Struthio camelus: one gene and its partner. The protein of the gene in region 1 interacts with the protein of each later gene in a pairwise test. Links are inferred from orthologs where the notes say so. Each region holds a gene or a part of one and is shown on either strand. Other genes may lie near its edges.

Region 1 (10,496 bases):
AAAAATTGATTGGTAAAGTCAGTCACCACTAAGATGGTTTATGACAAGTATTTAAGAGCTACTGCTAACTGTATGCTTAAAAAAATGCGTAACGGTCTATCTATATTTCATCCTCTGTAGCCTCTTCTTTTATACAGGATTTTAGGATTACATTTGAGGCATGACATGAACACGTCTGTGTTCACTTACCTTTTTTTAAACAGTAAAGGGAATAAATCTGTTAAATGAGTTGTTATAAAATGAAACACAGTCCTCCTTCCAGGTTCCTTAACATCTGGTCAGACTATTTTTCTGAAAGATTTCCACGTCTTTTAATAACGCACATTAAAAGTTCCTGTCAACTGTGGAGCCAGGGATGTGTTGAAGAACTACATCTGTTGCTCAAGAGCATACTGAGAGCAAACTCTTTTCTTGTTTCACTTTCTTTCCCCTGGTTGCTTTGGAAACTAATAAGGGCATTCTTTCCCCTTTTATATAACAACAACCACTATTCCGGATTTCTATTGTTCCTGAATTTAAAATCAATAATTTAGTCATTTATATTCTGAAGATAACAAAATGAGTATAACTTGTAATACTTCAGTGATGCTAAGATCTTAAAGACAGGGCAAAATTTTTGGCAGTTTTTGCCAAATGTTTTGCCTTCTACTGCTGTGGATTTCTGAAGTATTGTTGATCATAACACTGCATTTGCCAAAAAAAAAAAAAAGAAAAAAAAAAGAAAGTTACATAATGAAAACCAAGCAGTAACTTTTTCTTGAAGCAGTCACACGTGTATAATATATAGGAACTTTCTCTCAACCAGTAATTTGCTGAGGTTCCTAGGAACACTGAAACTATGCTCAGCTACTGATGCATTAATTAGAGTGGAGCAGAGTTACTTGGGTCTGTGTGCATTTGCTTTTGAAAATGAAAGGCTTACGTAACAAGCCTCCATAAAGAAAGCACTTTCTTCTACTTAGAAATTCACATGGTGTACATCACATTAACTTTGGGTCAAACTGCACTCTTCTAACTAATGGAATAATGTTTTGGTATTCCATACAGTCAAGTGTTTTGTTCCTTATTTCAAAAGGGCTGAACCTCTTTTCTTCTAAGATGGGTATTTAATAAGAAACTTGATGTTTTATTGGTAGTAAAAGGCTGCTTTCAAACAGTGTACCTTATAATTAGTTTGGTGTTGTAACAATTTACTGTTATATACTACTTTTCAGTATTTTTCAGTGGAGCATCTCAAGTTACTTTACAGTCATTAAATCTTTACTCTTCTACAAGAGATTTACTCTCTGAGTAAATCCTTGGCCTCTGTTCTGGCCCGTTGTGCCAGGCAGAAGTGCCACATTAATGTTAGGACAGAAGCTCCAAGTTTGCCTGGAGCTTCTAGATCTTCCTGGTGTGGACAGTCTACAAGAAATACATAAGGCTGGCACAGAGCTTCCTGGAGAGAACTGTCGCGGTCACTTTGCCTGAAGCAGGAAAGGAGCCGTGTTCTGGGCTCCTTTGCAATGCTTGCAAAGGTATTGGGCATTGATGAGGTTGATAAGGCATACTGAAAGGGCCCTCTGGTGAAATATGTTGGGACCTTCTTCAGTTCCCAAAACCCTTCAGGCTGGGGAGGATGCAGAGATGGCTTTTTATTAGAGGCACTGGATTTTGGGGAAAAAAAAAAAAAAACCACAAGCCTACTAGAATAGTTATTCCTGTATGCATTACTGTAATGTTATTGCATATTTGAGCTGGCTAGTTACTTTTAAAAATAAGAAACTGTTTTTATAAGTTCAGGAAAAATGCTATACACAATGATATGCAGAAGTGAAAGTTACCTCCTTTAGTGTCCTACCTATTATTTCAATATAGTTTTCTAATGCAATTACTAAAATGGTCAGTCATGCCAGATTTTTTTTTAGCTTAGCCTGCCTGAGACTGCTACACAAACTAGCACTCAGAAGCTAAAACAGCTTCACAGAGTTATCTGTGCTCTGAAACGGCACCTGCAACTACAGCTGTACAGTGTGCTGCCTTTCTCTTTTCTATAATTAGAGCAAACATTTGGAAATTGCGATAACACTTTTCCCGTATCTTTACAGGAAAGAAAATGACCTAAAAAGGGAAGAAAGGCTTGTCTGGGAAGGAGCACAGCTAATCCAAACATCACGCAAAACTTGCAGCAGCATAAAGAAAGACCTAATTATCATCCCTTTTCCGACCAAATCTTTTCAGTAACTGTGTGTTTGGTTTTGTTTTTCAAACTCTGTCTTCACTGCAGATTTCCCTACTTGGAAATATCATTGGGGATCACTGTACAGCAACAACAGATAAGGCTGTGCCAAGCAGCAAACAGGCCCATGGTGTAAAAAGCTTGTAATCAGTAAAGGACATGTATGCTAAAAACACAGGCCACCCTAATATGAAAGGTATTAAGTTGATCTGTGATTGTAGTAGTGTTCACATTGCCCAGATAGCTGTGTGCTCTTTCTAAGTAGCCACTTTTCAAACTAGAAAAGTGAAGAAAACAAGCATTTGTGGAAAGAAAACATGACTTTCCTCTTAGAAAGTTGAATTTTGGACTGCTGTACACTACTGTCAAATTTCTTGATTAGTATCTTTGTTAAATCCAGCCAGCAACACTTTCTCTGTCCAAGTTTCCTGAATGTAATGAATGGTTCAGATCCCTGAATACCAGATCAATTTTGCACCAGGAAGAGGCATTATAAGGAATTAGAGGGCCTTCTGTAGCATAGTAAACTGCAAGCATGTTGAAGCAGGTAGAACTGAACAAAAAGGGCCAGCTTTCCTGAAACGTTAATCATCCACAGCAATAGGAGCTGTATGAACAGCGACTGTCAGTACTGGTATTTCAGCAGAACCTTGTCTAAACTTTGATTTGTGGTTCTGCAAAAGTTTAATACATAGCAAAAGAAGATAAGGGTTTTAAAACATCTCATACATGTTTTACATGTATGAAAATATAATCACAGCTCCAATTTCTGGATACTCAAATTTTTCCTTAGAGCCCATTTAGCCACAGCAGTTAAGCAGGAACTCAAGACCTAACTGTTTTTGCTGCAGCTGGTACATAGCCTTGGTGATTTCCCCATGTATGATCTTAACCACCTTCACAAATTCTGGAGGATGGGCTAGATTTAAAAAAAAAAAAAAAAATTGGAAATTATGTAGGGCAAGACTGACCTCTCAATACTATTAAGGAGAAGTCCATGAAGCGATTGATCCTTGCACGGATTCCCATGTCTAGAGTCTGTTGCTGTGTGCTAATGCTGTGGAAGAACAATCCATTTTTCTCATACTGCTCTTCCCATTTAGTCTGTCAGAGAGCCAGTCAGCACTGACAAACACCTGAGATGGTATGAGTGGCCACGAGCTGGATTCTAGAAAATAAATTTGGCACTAAGAATCACTGTGTTGCTAGTCTAACTTGAGAACTGAGGTAGATCTAGGCTTCCACACAGTAGATGCTGATATAAGTGTATTGCTAGATCCTAAATAGCTGTTAAGGATGCAAGGACACAACGTTTACTGTTAGATCCTGGCAGGCCACAGTGCTAAAATGGTACTTTGTTCCCACAGGAATGAACATTTAACAACAGTTCCTAGGACAGTTAAAGGCAATTTGATTACTTGATTATTAGGGTTTTGGCCCACGTTGCTCCAAAATCTTTTGAGCGACTTGCAAGGCATGTCAGGTTGGGATGAAGACTTTGAGGAATAAAAAAAGAAAAGAAAAAAAAGTAGTCATGTTTAATTTTGTGGCTGTAAGAGATAACTAGACTATAGGGAAGGCTTTTGGGTTTGAGATTAGTGTTGAGAACTGTGGAGAAGGGACTTTGGGTCAAGCAGTTCTAGGATAAGGGGTCATTTTGACAGGAGGAAACCAGTTCATTGCTAATTTATTAGAAGGCTCGGGGTCATACTTAAACTAATTAGCGTTACAGCAACAGCTAAACAGTGAAAGTACTTCAACTCTTGCTATCCCAAACAATAGCAGTACGTTTCCCTTTTGACTCTAGCTTAAATTCCAGTTTAGAGACTAGCAATCCATAGACCACGCAAATCCAGCAATGAACATACATCTCCATTTCCTTTTGAATTTGAACCCAAACCTCTCTGTGTCTGTATCAGTCTCAGGTCTAACGATAATCCATTCACTCCTGTTTACAGACATCATTCTAGTCCTCAACTTGGTAGTATTCACGGGTAAGATTTGTTCTTCTATTCCCACTGTCCTAAACACATGGGACTCCAGAGTCCCAAGCCAAGCTCTAGTTCTTCTCCTAGTCTTGCAAGATCCAGTAATAAATCCAGCTCTTCAGCCCCTCTTGTCTTGAATCTTAACGTTAATTTGAACTGTAACAACAGTTTAGAAACCTAAAAATGAATCACAGGCCATTTTATAGGCATTGTCAATCCAACAAAAAAGCTTAGTTTTCAGTTACTGCTTTGCCAAAAACTCCCACTCATTTTAACTACAGCCTGGTGACCTATAACTGATGATCAGCTATTTATCTCTGTCAGCTCCACCATTCATCTTAACTTTATGGGTTTTGGAGGAAAGATCAAGTAGTTAAGTGTCTCAGCTCTTGTCATTTTTAACCTTAACCCAACACCTGATATTGACAGGCACAAAACGAATTAAGACTGAATCTGGAGAAGAAACGGTCTTAATTACTTTTAAGGCTGGTATTTGCCATATCAGAAGCTAGAGAACTTAATTTTTATTCTTCCTACATGGCATACATGTCTAAGATGATGATGATTTGGTACTTACTAGGTACAAAGAAGTTAAGGTTTGTCTTAAGATAGGTATGTGTTGCTTGTCTCTTTATACTGAGGCTTAAACAACAGCCAGGAACTAAAGGAACAGATTTGTCGCTGCTTCCTGCAGTTTCTGACCTGGGATGATGTCTGGAATCAGCAAGAACAGATGGTTTCAGGTAGGCACAGGCTACTTGATTACTTTCAGGGCTACTGTCAAGCCTGAACTTTGGGACAGCAAAACTAAGTTTAGTGTTCCATTCTCTCATGCCCATAATGCTACAATTAAGGTTTATCCTAACAGGGTAGAGATCTGAAAGGCAATTTTGAGACAGGAATAACTAGAACGTAAGGTTGGGCAAAGGTAAGGATTAGAACATATTGCTTTGTTCTGTAAAACTCACAGTGCTACAACGAGAGCTGGCGCTAACAGAAATACAGGGAGGAAAGCCAGGATTCCCTTAGCTTTGGTTATGCCTGGAACAGTGGCGGCATATCACTTGCACGAATTGCATCAGGAATAGTAAAGATGAGCTAAGGCACTCTTAAAAATTGGCAGTACATACACTTCAGCGTGTCATCACGACACACAGGAAATAAGCAGTCATCTTTTGACGCAGAATTTCTTTTGACTCATTGAAAGGCCTTCATCCTGTTCCCAGAACTTGACCTAAATAAAGTTAGTAATCCTCTGTTTCTGTCCTTAGATGCTTCTGAAATGGGTGTATTGAGACAAGGACTGCCCTATCACCAGTTGGATTGCATCCTCCCTCTCAGTCATTCTTTGCAAGTCCTGAATATTGCTACATATAGGACTTGCCAAAATTGGGTCAGAAGGGCAAAGCAAAATGCATGCAGTTGAGAGACTGAGAATTTTTTTTACATCTACTCTTCCGTTCCTATTTCCTACTTCTGGTCTTAACACGAGCAGCTGCCTATCTTCAGGGAAGATATAAACATCACGGAGCCTAATTCAAGGCTAAACCTGGAGAACTGTTTGTAATGCTGCATGTATTGTGCTTGTTTAATGATGTGTTTACTGCACTAAATTAAGTCTGGACTCTCAGGAGTAATTGCAGAAGCTTCCTTTAACGAGGTAATAATCGTTTGCTAAAGTCAGTGTACATAACGTGTAACCTCCTGCAGCCACACATCGGTACAGGTATTTATTTACCTGCAGAGGTAATCCGCCGTCCCAGCCTTAACTTTAGAAAGATATCCGGCGCTGAGATGAAGTTCAAAATCCCATCGGCGTTCGAGGAGCGGAGCCCCTTCAGCTTACAGGCGCGTAGGGGGCGAAGCAGCGAAAAAGCCACGCCAGGAAAAGCCCGGCCGAGGACGGCCGCGCCCAGAGGGCACCGGCGGCCGCCCCCCCCACCCCCCCGCCGTCACGTTCCCCCGCCGGAAGTGAGGCCGCGGCCGGGCCCCCCCCAGCGGCCGCGCGGCGACAACCGACGCCGACTCCGACAACGCCACCGCGCCGCGGCCGAGGCTGCCCGCCGCCGCCATGCTGTTCCGCTTCGGCCTGGTGCTGCCGGCCCGGCTGACGGCGGGCGGCGTCGTGCTCTGCGTGGCCGGCTCGCGGCCGGAGCTGGGCCAGTGGGACCCGCAGCGCGCCGTGCCCATGACGCCGGCGCGGCCCGCCGCCGCGCTGCCAACCCAGGAGCCGGCGCTGTGGCTGGCGGAGGTGGCGCTGCCGGACGAGGACGCGGGCGGCACCTTCTGGTACAAGTTCCTGCGGCGGCAGGGCGGCGACGTCCTCTGGGAAGGTAACGGGCGGCTCGGCGCGGGCCCCGCCTCCTCGGCTGGGCTGGGCTGGGCTGGGCTGGCCCCGCCCGCGCCTCGGGGCCGCTGCGTGCGCGGCGCGAGCGGGCGTGGCGGCCGGTGGCGAGCCGTTGGCGGGCCGTTGGCGGGGGAGGGGGCGCCTGGGGAGGCGAGGGGCGCCGCGCTCTGGGGCGTTGCCGCTGGGCGGCCGGGGCTGCTCGGCCAACGGCCTCGGCGCGGGGCTGGAGGGCTGCTGCGGGCGGCCGGTGGGAGCTCTCTCGCCTGGCCGTCGGCTGGGAGGGCTCGGGGGCTGCGGAGATGGCCGCGGGGAGGCAGCGGGTGTCCCTGGGTTTGGGCCTGTGGGGATGCTGGCGGAGCCGGCGGCAGCCTCCTCGCGTGCGGGGAAGACCTGAGTCGTGCTTGCAGGTGGAGCTGGGCTGTGGGTTACACGATGGGTGTACTCACTAGCGAAGGCAATTTTTTAACCGTTTGATAGGGGAGAGCGAGTGTAGAACGAAGCTGCTTTTCTGGGTTGGTAGAAGTTATTTGAAGCAGTTTTTTTCTTTCTTTTTTTTTTTTTTTTACTTTGGGCGTTCACTGTTCTGAAGCTTTTTGTTTGTTTGTTCGTTTTTATTTTTATTTTCCAGAAGTCAAGGCCATAGAATTTCCCCAGATAACTTCTGGGTGAAGGTGTGATTTGTTATTTAATTTTAGTGAGCTGCATATCCAGAGAGTCATGATGTCCTTTTCAGGCTGGTAAATTTTACCATTAGAATTGTGGAATTGCCAAAATATTGGAAAAGATCTGTTAGAACTTTAGACTGTTGGAACTGTCTGAATCTTTTACCTATTTCAGTATTACTTCCACTGGATTTTTCTCCTGTTCTGTGCTGTTAAATGTTCTATAACTTCAGTCGGCTTCCATGAACTATTTTAGTATGTATAAGTATCTTAAAGAGAACGCTCTTACAGTTGCATGCTGAATCAAACAAAGCTCTAAATTCACCTCTTCACTGAGAAAGGGATCAGACTTGGTGAAAGCAGGACAGATTAGAGATTTCACAAAAAAAAAAAAATTTTAACTTCTAAAATAGTTTTCTAATCCATATAGAGAAGTAACAGTTGCACTTTACCCATTTTTAAGGTTACATATGATATTTTTGAACTGCTGTTTCATCATATAGACTAAAACATGGATATTATAATTGTTGCATTTATTTTTTCTACAATAACGAAAGGGTGTATATGTTAACTTTTGTGAATATGTTATCTATATCATGAAGCGTGTGCTAGTAACTGTTAAAAAAGGCAGAGTATACTGTTTATTTTAGCTGTTAAAATACAACAATGTTTTTCTTTTGCAGAAATGCAGGAAAAGTGAATTTATGAAATAAAAATCTTTGGATCTTTGCAAGGAAGCAGAACTGGGTCTTTTTTGAAGGTGCCAAGTTCTACATAAAATTTTGGTGGTATTGGTATATGAAGAGGCTTTGACTACACGCGATATAGCAATTAAACAAAAAAAAAAAAAGTGTTCCAATCTGTAAAGAACCTGCAACTGTGAAGTTATGGTTACTGGCAATAATGGTATCAAGGTGTTTGTTCATTCCTGGGTGCATGTTTAATGATGTAGTCTACTGAATAATAAACAATATTTATTACTGTTCTGGCCATAGTGCTGTTAGATACAGTTTTAACCTGTGTGAAATTTTCCTCTTGTTCAGCAATGAATGTTCAGCAATTTGAGCCTGATGCATGGCTATAAAACTAGAAGACAGACTGGAGTATCATCCAACTACAGATCTTCTTTTAGTTAGTCACTCAGATCAGCCATTTCTTTCCTGAGTTGTTATTTACTGAAAAGATCTAAATTTGCTTCACTCTTGAGGTTTTTTGTTCTTCATATAACATGTGAAAGGGGCTTAAGAATGTTTTTCTATCCAGAAATTTAAACAAGAGACTGCAAGATATTGCTTATGTCAGTTATTTTAATGATCTTTTTCAACTGTAAATCAACAGAGCTTTGACTGTCATCTGCTTATTCTTGTAAAAAATGCAGTTCAAAAAGACAACTACCTTTTTTTTAAAAAAAGGAGAAAACTTAGCATTTACTTTTCGCAAAAGACATGCGTTGAATGTTTAGTGTCCTGCCTGTTTAGATTTAAAATGTGCTTTGGGAGACATCTAACAGTAATGAAAACATCTGCAATTTTGAAGACGTGATCATGAAGGATAGTGGAAAGTGTAAAATGATACTTGCTCTAAATTTGTGAGTTGAGGCAGTCCTATGCAACTGGAGGGAGTCCTGTCTAATTATGGATGTCAGGTATTTATACTGTTAGATGTGAGATACAGATCATTATGACAAATCACTCCTTTTTTATTAGTACACTTTAAGGGAGACTTCTACCAATAATGCGTATTATTTTTATAATACTAATATTATATGTTTTTATTATAGTATTATTTTTATAATACTAATATTATATGTTTAACATATTTTAAATATAAATTTAGTTAATCTTCATAAGCTGTCCAATGCAGTGGCGAAACTGGAAGTAGAAAATGATCTGTTTCTATGGGCTGGAAGAGTCAAAGTCAGGGTCCAGTGTTACCTGGCTTTTGAGTTCCATCAGCTGGTCTGCTAACAAGAAGACTTCAGACCAAGGTCTGGTCTGCGGGAGAATTCCGGACTTCTTGTCTGGGTCTTGTAGGAACTAGTGTACCTCTCCAAAAGGACAAGACGGGAGAGGAAACTCTTGAGCTTCTGAATGATCAAGTTTTTACATCTGCTGTTGCAAACTCTACCCCACAGTGATGGTCGTGGTCTGCATCCAGTGGCGGCCACTTAAAGCTGGTGGGCTCTTCTGGCTCAGATCACGTGGTTCCTATAAATGCTGTGGCCCAAGTAAGGTTTCGTCGGGAACCTTGCTTTGCTTATCCGGTGTGAGCTCAGCTGAAAAGCCTGTTGTTCAGGTGAATTTTGAACGTGTGGAAAACAGGATGATTATGTTAAGCTTCAGGATTTGGGAAGTGTTCTACCCATTATAAAATATAAAGAAATGTATCTGTTTTTTTCAGAATAACTATAGCCTATATGTCTTTGTACTCTAATGTTGATTCTTCAGAATTGGATTTTCTTTCAGTTTGTGAAGTACAAATGTATTGTGGCTACTGTCAAAGCTAAATAAATACAAGGTGGAGCTTATACCTGAATTCATTTTTCTGAATTTATGCCTGAACGCTAATGTAGACCTTTTATTTTTTGTTTTTCTAAATACACTGTAGATACTGTGCAAGACACATTGCATAAAAGGACTGAGGATGCTAAAGGTATGCCTGAAACTCTGTATTTTGAAAGGATAGAATACAGTATCCTGGTAACGTACAGGAAAGTCACACCTGAACATTTCTGAAAGCGAAAAATGCACTGCAAAACAAATCTAAGGTGATATTTTAAAATGCTTATCCATTTTTACACAGACTTGTGTTCCTGTCACATAACCATTGGTTTGATGCAGTTGATGCTTGCTTGAGGCTTGACAGATTGTGCAGCAATGCCAGTTAAAGCTGAGAAGTATGATCGACCTACGTTCTAGTAATTTGTGCATGTGAGCATAGCTTTTTCCTTTAAAAAAAAAATAATAATTATTCGTTGAGGGGGGAGGAAGAGGAGACAAAAGGAAGTGCATCTTGTCTGCATTCATCTGGCAGTGTTGTTTTCTGTGGTTTCTTGGAGACACAAAACAAACAGCACAACACAGTTCAATTTAAAAACAGTTATGTTAGACAGCCTGTGATTTGGTATGTTGTCCTTCCAACGTTTCCAGTTCCTGCTCATGTGAGCTTGTAGGTTATAGTTTAAGCTTTCTGTTGAATAATGTACACCTCTGGAGATAGTCCATAAATTCACCAGCCTTTTTGAACTAATACAGTTCATCATAATATTTTGATATAATTAC
Region 2 (10,613 bases), on another chromosome or scaffold:
GCTTATAAGCGATTGTGTTTCGATTTTGACAAGATCAAGATGTCATTTGCATGTAGTAAAGAAAGTACATAACAAATACTAGCAGAATTGGGTGCAGAGCGGTGAAGGAAAACAAAGCGCAACTTCAATTTGCATTGCCATCACCATGAGCAGACAATACAAAACATCTTTCAAGATTGGGACCTTTGTCACAACAATCAGGAATGTGATTATTTGGTCTCAGTGACAAAATGCATCAAGACTTACAAAATGAACTTGAAGGAAAGCTGTTTGTAAACATAGTAAAGGTTTCTGGATATAAAAATATGCATTTCATGGTCTTAATCTGTCACTGTGGAAGCTATCTATTCCCTAATAATTGTTTTCCTTTAATAGAAACCTTTGTGCATTAAAACATTTCAGAACATTCTCTCCATTCTTCTTCCTATCTGAAAGAATCCAGTTCATTATCTCCTATCAAGAATTAGAGAGATTAACTTTGCATAGATAAGCCTGGCCTGTTCCATTATTTTATAAAAACAATTCAGCCCTTTTCCATCAGAAAAAAAAAAAAAAAAAAAACACCACCAAACCCACCCCGCAAAAAAGCACATCTGCTCAAGAAAAAGAGCATAGATCTTGTTCTCCTCTCAAATACACCAAGGTGAACAGATGAAACACCACAAATTTCCGTGGGGTTAGTGGTGCTAATAGGAAATTTTACAATTAAATATTTCTCTAAACTTGCTTATTTAGATAGTGTTATCTTCATTTAGCAATTGTAAATATTTTTGAGGAAAGACCAGTGGAAGACATTTGCCTTCAAGGAAAAGATTCCTGATGGCCTTGCTGGTTTATGATCAAATATATTGAATTGAGTAGTGGTGATTTAGAAAAATGCATCAAGAGCATACTTTCCTCAAGATCTTCCTATGAAGGAAACATGACCCTTCTACATGGCCAAATGCTTTCTAGCAGTCAAGAAGCATCAACATTTACTAATGATTATTTTTCATTTAAATTTACGTGATGTTTGCTTTGTGCCATTTGTTTTCATTTTCCTGTCCCCTGTTATTTTTTTGCAAGGAACATAGTTATTAGCATTGCCGTTTTTCTTTGGATTTGTACACGAATATGTTTTTAAGCCTTTAGTGGGAGCAGCTGAACCATGGAATACAGGGGTCTGCTTAGGGGGTCTGATGTTACCGATGCCTTGAATTTTAGAACTGTTTTCAGAGGGCTGCGTATTGAGAAGTTGTTGCTTTGCAGTCGGTTTCTTTCTCAACTCACTCCTTACTTCACCAGAATTTCTCTGAGATGACAGTGCACGTCCCATGCTCTCAGAAAAGTGACCTGGCTGTGCATGCATTTGGCAGTTTTCTTCACAGTATGCGTCTCTCCTGTGACCTGAATAGCTTGTGGGGAGCTTTGTAATGCTTTCTTGGGGAATTGCTTGCTTGCTAGGCAAAGGGCTGGGCAATACTTTGCCTTTCCCAGGGCTTTTTAGGGTACGGATGGAGCTGGGAGCAGTTTGAGGTCTGACTTTTGCTGTCTTTCCTTTCTCATTCTGTACAGTCTGCATTTGCAGCCATTCCAGCTGCAAAAGACGATCAATGTATTTCTCAAGAAATCCTGCTGGCTTCGGTCGAAATTCAGTTTTACCCTCTACAGTAACAAAGATGGCCAGCTGCTTCAAATCCCAGGAGTTGAAAGGGGGTGGGAGGAAGTCTGGGTAATAATATTCTGATTCTTTAAACCCTGTATCAAGGACATGTTCCAAACAAACTGGATCAATTTCTTCAGCTCTGAGAATGAGTTCTGGTGGTGTGCAGGGAGATGGAGGAACGGGAATCCTTTCTGAATCAGAAAGGTCACTGGCACTATCATCTTCAGCATCTTCTTTAATAATTCGTACCGATTCAAAATCGAGAAGCATCTGATCTACAGATGCTTCTTGCCATTTAGAAGAGCATGGACCAGCTTCAGCAACATGTTCTTTATGAGTGTTTTCTAACTGTTTGTTCTTACTGCAATAACAGTGTTGCATCGGGACATCTTTTGCCCTCCTGAAGCTACCTTGTGAGCTGCCCTTCATGCTAGGAGGGATCCTGTGCAGCACAGATTCGCTTTGTTTTCTTTCTGAGACACTCCTCTTTGATCCTTGTACTCTGTGCAATGAGGTGCAAACGCTCATCGTTCTGAACAGGAAGAAAGAGCATATACAAGTAAAATGATTAATGTATTTGGAACAACAAGTTACAAAGGACTTGCTACTGTCTTACAAGAACTTGGATCTATGTGAATTAAGCTAAAATTGGCATGAAAACTTACTGATGAGGTAAGATTAATATTTGCTAGCAAAGAGAACACTGCCTGCTACCCTGTGTTGTGGTTTGACTTATTTGATATACATTGCAATGCTTGTTACACATAAAATAGAAATTCAGTCTAAAGACAGAGACCATGGCCAGAATTAATAGTTAGGACATAAGACAAAACAATCAAGCTTTCATGGTCAAATGGTATAAACTGATGCAACCCCCTTCACTTCACTCATTTATAGCAGTTGAGAATGTGACCCTCTCTGTAAGGAATGCTGAATAGTTTAAAAATAAAAACTTATTGCTGCTTATAGTTCCCAAATGAATACACATGTGCATCAATCACAAATTAAAAGGTAGCATTCACCCCAAAATATCCTGAGGTACAATACTAAATTCAAGATGTTATTTTGTCTTAAAAGAGGAAATGTAACAGCAAACGTCAGAAACAGTACCGCATAAACGGAGAGAACTGTGTGTGCCTGCATTCAAACAGAGAGGGACTAGCGGACAACTGAATAGGAAAAATTTTGTATGATGAGGAGTGCAAAAAGAGGTCATGAACAGCAATCTCTGTTTACAGAGACCTCACTGTGGAAAGAGTCAAGATTCAGCAGTAAAAACAATGTTAGTATGTTACCAAACTTAACTTATCCAAAATAGCTTCCATTTTTCTAGAGGACGCTAATTTCAGTAAATCTTTCTCACTTTCTCCTTAAAGTAGCAAGCTCCCAAAATAGAGTTCTAAGATTAAATTTAGGCTCGTAATATTTGCTTGTATCCACTCCATTCTGTTGCAAGGAATCTTGTATCTGGCAATATTATTCCCATTAACTTCTTCAACCCAACCATGAACGCTCTCTGATTTTTTTTATCCACTATTAAAACTCTACACGCCATAGTCATTTCATTTTTCAGTCTTTTCTCACTATTCGCATTCCCCTCCCAGTATCAGTTTTCTTCTCTCACACATTGGGTTATGTTTTCTGCCACAAGAGCTTGTTCTCGAATACTTTCTGCCACAAGAGCTTGTTCTCGAATACTTCTTAAATCCAAAACTCTCCTCATCTTCAAATGGATCTTTTAAAGGTATTTTCTCCATGAAAATTCCTATGTTGATTCTTAATTCTCAGGGACGCTATCATGAGTAATTATTTTTCTGATAATTTTTTTGTCTTATTTTATTCTGATTTTGCCTAGAAGCTCATTGAAGCAGTATAATAAGTTTCCATATTAATAACTTAAGTTTTTTTTTCCTCATAAATGCTGAATTGTGGGGCCAGTGAAGCCAAAGGTAAAATTCTTATAGAAATCAATGAACCCATGATTTCATCACAACCATTTTGCATACCAATTTGAAACGTCTACAAATAAAGCAGAGAACCTTAACATAAAATTACCTGCTTGGCTGAATGTGGTCACCCAGCTGGTTTCTTTCCTTGTAAAAAATACATGGTTGGTTATCGTCCTGAGTGTCATGGGAAGTCTGGAAAGATAGGAAAGTATGTGATGCTGCTACTGCGATCAAGAAAGCTGATATAAACTAAGTACTCTTTTTCTGTAAGGAAACAAGGAACTGGAATGATTTACCTTTTCAGTGGCATTTGATATATTTTTGCCTAATCTTCCAGAAGATCTCACATGAGAAATTTGTTTCTTTAGTCCTTTGGTACTCAGATGGCTTTTTCCACCGCTGTAACTAGCGAGGATTAAACAGAATACCATACACCAATAGTAACATATTTCATGGTCAGAACAGAAACATAGTAAAAGTTTACAGTGCAACTCAGTTTAAAAGAGAGAGCTGACGGCAACTATGCTTGGAGAGACTTAAAGTTCATGAGAACCATACTGTGGTCGCTTTTTATTTTTATACTACACAAAAGTGCAAAATTCCAATAGATAATATAATAAGAGAACTTGGCCCTTATAAAGACTATTCTGTCAGGGGAAACCAAAGTTATGTTGGGGATAATAAATAGTAAATATTAGAGATTATATACTTAACTATTAATTTATGTAGTACCTGTTACTTGTGGGCCTACTGCAGTTTAGCAGAAGTAATCTTTAAGTATGATATGAAGACCAGTACAAGCCAATTCCTGCCTGGCTATCTCATTTGCATAGTCTCAGTAAAATTTAAAGGAATTTTTCTATGAAGAAAATGAGCAAAGTGAACAGGTAGCATATAGTCTATTATAATATTAATAGAAACTATTTTGCAATAAAGGCACAAACAAAGTCAGTTTCACTATTCAACAAAAAATTCACTATTTTTTGTTGTTGGATCATGCAAAATATTGATAAGGAAAAGCTTCATACGGAAGTGAAAGGAATGACATTATTGATCTGGACAGCTTAAAACTAAATTACACAATATTTCCTTTCCTCTAATAGATCAGATACTTTTCTCTGTAAGCACAGCAGCAAACAAACAAAAAAAAAAAACCCACACTGAATCATTAAAACAGTGTATGCTGTAGGAGTCAAGAAAGTGGTGTTTGTTCTACAAACAAGAAATATTACTAATTTCAAGAAGGAAAGCTTTAAAACGTCATTTTAGAACAGAAATAAACAAGTTGTATCTCCCCAGCCTACTTTAGATTCACTGCAGTACAATTAATTTTGCCAGGCAGCACATATTCTTCATAGCTGTTATGTCAGTGTAGTTTGATTTCGCTTTAAAAAATAGTCATCACTTTAAGAGCTGATAAAATCATGCAAATAAGCCTTGTGCCTTCAGCACTGACGCAGTCGTCTCTGTCGCTGGGACCTGCAAGATCAAACAGCGCAACCGCTTGCGTTGCTGTGGATCAGAGAGGAGGATGAGAATCTGAACAGTACACAGTCATGCATTTATTAACTAATTTACAGTACTTAGAGAAATCTCTAATTATAAAGAGAGAAGGTAATTTCCTTACTTTACCGTTCCTTTGTGGTTTTCATTGATTTGGCTTTCCTTTTCCGGTGTCCCGCTGCGCAGTAATAAAGGATGTTCCTGAATGCCTGGTCCCATTGTTCCTCTCTTTGAAGAGTGTCTGCGCCTTTATTTTTACATAACCTTCAAAGGACTCCAGTGTTTCGGGTTGATGAGACACAGCGCATCAAACGCAGGCATCACCACGTCCTAGAGATGCAGTAAACAAACACCATGCCATTCCTCCCAATGTGATTATTATTTTTTTTTAAAGCAGTAACATAATCAGCTCCCAAACAGTCCTGGAAAACACTCTCCCTTGCCCCAGCGCTGTGCTTACTTCACGGCAGTCGGCATACGGTTCACAAGCCCGTCCCTGAGAGGATGCTTGGGCAAGGTACGGGGAGGCGGGGGGAGCATGAGAAGGTACAGCAGCATTGCATGAGCTACTTTTCGTTTCCTGGCGTGCTCCTCATCGTGTTGCCCTTGCACCACGCCGCGCGTAGGACCGGAGCCAAGCACCGCAGCCAAGCGGCGGGCGGGCGGGCGGGCGGGCGGGCGCCGCTGCGCTGCGCTGCCCTGCGCTGCGCTGCGCTGCGCTGCGCTGCGCTGCCCTGCGCTGCCCTGCGCTGCGCTGCCCTGCGCTGCGCCTGCCTCCCGGGCGCGCCGCGCCGGCTCGTCCTTCCCGCGGCAGGAAACGCGCTCTTGGTACCGTCCGATATGCAAGTTCTCTATCGAATGCTTAATTTTCTTCTTCTTGTTCCAAAACAAATCTCCCAGGACCCTTAAATTCGTACTAAAAATACTACCAGCAGAACATGCAGTATTTTTTTTTATCTTCTAAAAACAGCATTCCCAAGGGCGCATGATTTCCAAAGGGTAGCAGACAATTAGCACCAAATTACCTCTGCTCACCCACCCTTGGTCTTGCTGCAGGGCGTTAATAACGAGCTATATCCGTGTATTTTTTCGCTGTCTTCCCCCCCGCGCCCCGGTCCCGCCAGCACCTGCCCGGTACCTGCCTCCGCCAGCAGCTAAGGGCAAGTCGACTGCGGCGACGTCGCTCTGGCTAATGCGCACGCGCCGAGTGACGACGCATGCGCACCGCGGACGGCTGATGGTTTCCTCTTGATTAGTTGCCCGGGGGGGGGGGGACGCGCATGCGCTGCTGGCGAGGGCGGCGGCGGCGGTCTGTCCGCGGAGGGGCGAGCGGTGCCGGTTGCCGCGGGCTGTGGGGCCGCGGTCGGCTGCCGGCTGCGCAGCGCCCTGCCCTGCCCTGCCGCCAGCTGATGTGGGCTGCCGAGTCCCCGAGCGCGGCTCCCTCCCCGCCCGGCCACAGTACCGACTCTGCCTGCGCGGCCCCGCCCGACAGCCTCCTCACGCCCTCCAGCCGCCGCAGCAGCCTCGGCTCCGGCTCCTCCGTCCCGCCCGACAGCCTCCCGGCCTTTCCCAGCCTGGCCGGTAGCCGCGAGTCGCCCAGCCTCCAGTGTGACAGCCTCGAGTGTCCCTGCTGCCACTGCGGCAGCCTGGCGTCGACGAGCGCCTGCGAGGACAGCCTGCAGCCCCGCTCCGGGGCGCTTCAGGGGCACCGCCGGGCCCCCAGCAGCCTCTGGGACAGCCTGGAGTCCGCCGGCGCCCCGCACGACAGCCTCCAGTCGGTCTCCAGCCTGCAGGAGAGCTTCAGGTCCTCCAGCAGCAGGTGTGATAGTCTTGAATCCCTTTCCAGCCTGTGTAGCAGCTCCTCCAGCCAGCGTAACAGCCTCGAGGTCACCAGCCGGTGAGGCGGCCCTCAGCTTTCCCCTCCGATGCACGAGCCTCCGGTTCGCTGCCAGCTGCTGCGAGAGCTTCCAGGTTTCTGCCCTTCACTGCGGAAGGCTTCGTTGCTCCAGTGAATTCCTGCAGCAACCAGCAGAACAACCCCAAATACCCTCCTGCTCTGGCTGTCGTTCCCAAGTTACGTGCTTCAGAGAGGCAGTACTCAGTATCGGCAGCGTCAACCTCAGCTCTTTGTCATCGGTTAAGAATGGAGGTACGTGGTCCTCGGAGGAGTCCCAGCTACCTCTCCAATCTCTATCAGAACATGTTACAGGCTGAGGCAGAGCCGGGACGAGGGCAGCAGCGGCCCCAGGCAGTTCACACAAGTAGCAGCGTGAGTCTTCTGAGCAGTATCCCGGCCAAGGGGGGCTCGCAACCAAATCGGCCTCAGAGTAGCACTGCCACCAGCTGCGATCCAGCTTTACGGCCTATCATACGCCGCCGAGCGAGGTCTTTGCCTACATCACCTGAAAGAAGAAAGCGAGCAGGAGTGCAGTGCCGAGTTCCAGGATGCGAGGGTCGTACGAACAGGGTGAGATTTGCTGATGCTTTGGGCTTGGAGCTGACTGAAGTGAAAGTCTTCCAGACTGGAGAGGATCCGTCAATCCCCTTGCATGTCCTTTCCAGGCTCTCCATAAACTCAGACCTCTGGGGCAGTAGCTTGGACCTGGAGTTCACCATGCAGTGCTTGGTCCCTGACTTCCAGCAGCCTGCAGACTGTATGGATTTCTCTGCCCGACTTCAGGAGCAGCAGGTGTGTCTTGAACGAGTGACCAATTCAGATTTGGGGCTCAGTGGCACCATCCAAGTTTGTAATATTGCTTTTGAGAAGCAGGTATCTGTGCGATACACCTTCAACCAGTGGAAAAGCCTCCATGAAGTGTGTGCTCATTGGCATAGCAGCATCCCTGAGAAAAACGGGCAAGCTCAGGTTGATGTTTTCACTTTTTTTCTCCCTGTACCTCCTTTCCTCCTTCATCTGTGCTCTGTAGTCCAATTTGCAGCAAGATACAGAGTCAATGGGCAGGAATATTGGGATAACAACAGAGGCAACAACTACAGTTTTACCTGCCGGAATTACCCCCTTAAGATGCCTAGAGAATGTGAGGAGAGCTGGATCCACTTCATCTAAGCAAAAGAAATTGGATGTAGAGCAGCTTTTGAATAGCCTTATTCTCTTCCCTGGCATTGCTCTGTGCTCCTAGGGCAATACAAACCCTCTTTTTGAAACCTGCCAAACCTGGCAAAGTGTTTCAGAACAGGAAAGTAGCCAGTGATGTGTACAAACTGTTCTAAACCTCTCAGAAAGTATAAAGGGCCAAAATGTGTATCGCGTTACATCCGTTGAAAGCCCGCGTGATTTCTTGTGGTGTGTGAATCGGTGCAGAATGGTTCAAAGGGATGCTGTCAGACTAAATATCTGAAAGCGAAGAAAGGCACTTTTGTTGCTAATGGTATTCTGGACTGCATAAAATATTTATAACGAGTCTGTTTTACCATGTCTGGTTTTTTTTAAATGGACAGTGTGGCTTTACTGTTTTTATTTCTATTTTTGTTTATGTTATCTCACCAAGTCTGGGCACTATTCCAGCTTAGCAAAATTTGGATGGCAAGCACAGTAGGGAAGTATGTATTTTTACATAAGTATATTTGTTAACGTTTTAGCCACGTTAAGTGTTTCTATTAATATTTAGTTTGCAAAAGAAATTTAATTATGAGCTAAAACAACATGAAAATGTGCCAGCTGCTCCTCTGTTTCCCTTTTAAAAAAAAAAAAAAGTTTCTTAACCATGTGCCTTTTCTCATCTGCAATGTTTGCTATAGGGAGCAGGCGTGATTTAAGTGTAAATTAGGCTGACCATGGGGGAGTTCTCATCTTTTGGGGTGATGTACAAGTAGGTTTTTTTCTCCAGGGAAATGGAATTGGCCTTTCCTTGTGGAGCTATTTTTATTAAGGGAAACTAGAGCAATTTTGCACTTTTGTTGTGATCACACTTGAAGATCTCAAAGCACTACATAAAAGCTAATGATCTTACACCCATACTAGAAACGGATAAATTTAAAACTCAAGGCATGGGTATGAAAGACAAACTATAAAGGCAGTGCAGTGAGCTGGTCGCGGAGCCTTGGAATAGAACGCTAGAAGCCTGAATCCCCGCTCCCTTTTCCCTAGTGTCCCAGTACTATTGCAGTAGCACTTTTGAGTTCTCTAATCACCTACTACTGATTATAAACTAGTTCAAGACTGAACACAAAATGGGAAAATGATGATTTTACTGGTAAATTGGTTTTTACATGGATCCACAAACAGAATTCCTTTTGCAGCACTGAGAGCAGAGTAACACAGAAGAGTCTGCCCAATATGTAGCTTACTGCTGGGCTGCTTTCCTTCTGAGGATTTAGTCTGGTGTGAGATTGGTAACAGGCTTAAATCTAGTAAATAAATGATTGTCCTTGAATGTTTTAATGCATATTCTTCACTGCATGCAGAGTGAAGTACTTTAGCTTTATAAGTATAGTGTAAGTTTTCAAAACTGGTTGGCTGGATATATTAGAAGAGCTGCTTTTCAGAAGGAATATACTATGAAAATCATGCTGCATATTCAGATGTCTTATTTTGGATTGCTGCTTATTCATCAAAATCACAAATTATTTTTAAAATCAAGATTGTAGGCAGCACACAGCCAAGTATGTGTTAGTCAAAAAAGTCCATTGGGTCATTCTGGAATTGCAGAAACTCCAAGAAGCATCCCATGTTTGGCAGCTTAATGTGATTACTTAGGTGCGATACCCCTTTAACAAGGCCAGGATTTCAAGTGAACTAGTTGCCCAGCTCCGTTAGTCTGTGGCTTTTAGGGCCTGAAGTCATGAGTGGCGATTCTATGCGCTGCTGAGCATCTCCTCAAAGTACTGAGGAAACTCAATCCGGTTTGAAACAATTGAGAATTGACTTGTTCGTCATGTGGCAGGATAGAACTAACCCTCTGCCAATTAGTTTGTTTATAGTTTGTTTCATACCTGCTGACCAATGTAGACAGCTCTGAAATTGATTTAAAAACAAAATTATTGAATTAGAAATTCTTTCCATGCATTACGGTAGTTAGCCCACCTTCTAGGGTAATTAAATGTGCTCTTTGCTTGGATGTTGTCTCAGTAGGTGAGAGATTTATTCCAAAAAAATCTTTTGATAAAACGTGCAATTCATATATTTTTCATACTCTAATTCAAATGGTCATTTCTGTTAGCAGTCGCTGTTACTGAAGTGGCTGTTTATATGCCTTTTTGATTTCTAAACTAAGTGAAGCATCCAAAAAATCACAGAGCTGATATTATAAAAGTTACATAGTTATTCAGTATAGCAGCAGAAATGCAAGATGTATTTTGAATGTCTTATTTCAGCCGTACTGGGCGTTTGTCAGTACTTGAATTCAGTTTGAGTTGCAAGTACTTTCTGCCTCTGAAGGTCAGATTCTGATTATTGCTCTTGTTTTAAGCCTCTGTACCTTCAGTAACAATAGGTTTTTATTGCTTGTCTATGTAGTGTTCAGTTACCTGTGTGTCAGTGGCTATCTACTACTAGG

The links. The genes of interacting proteins can lie anywhere in the genome.
Region 2: the proteins of EPM2A (region 1) and PPP1R3D interact in a two-hybrid assay, tested with the Homo sapiens proteins (2 studies listed by BioGRID, with this or other methods). The link is inferred for Struthio camelus from reciprocal best matches to the Homo sapiens genes EPM2A and PPP1R3D.

The regions. Positions count from the first base shown.
Region 1 is NC_090944.1:83,976,743-83,987,238, forward strand, and holds the start of EPM2A (laforin), read left to right. Parts: upstream 1-6,193; 5' UTR 6,194-6,277; coding exon 6,278-6,539; intron 6,540-10,496. UniProt on the Homo sapiens protein: Plays an important role in preventing glycogen hyperphosphorylation and the formation of insoluble aggregates, via its activity as glycogen phosphatase, and by promoting the ubiquitination of proteins involved in glycogen metabolism via its interaction with the E3 ubiquitin ligase NHLRC1/malin.
Region 2 is NC_090959.1:14,319,883-14,330,495, reverse strand, and holds the start of PPP1R3D (protein phosphatase 1 regulatory subunit 3D), read left to right. Parts: upstream 1-6,375; 5' UTR 6,376-7,240; coding exon 7,241-8,164; 3' UTR 8,165-10,613. Other genes in the region: protein FAM217B, read right to left, coding at 992-2,177, 3,701-3,786, 3,891-3,999, 5,222-5,316. UniProt on the Homo sapiens protein: Seems to act as a glycogen-targeting subunit for PP1. PP1 is essential for cell division, and participates in the regulation of glycogen metabolism, muscle contractility and protein synthesis.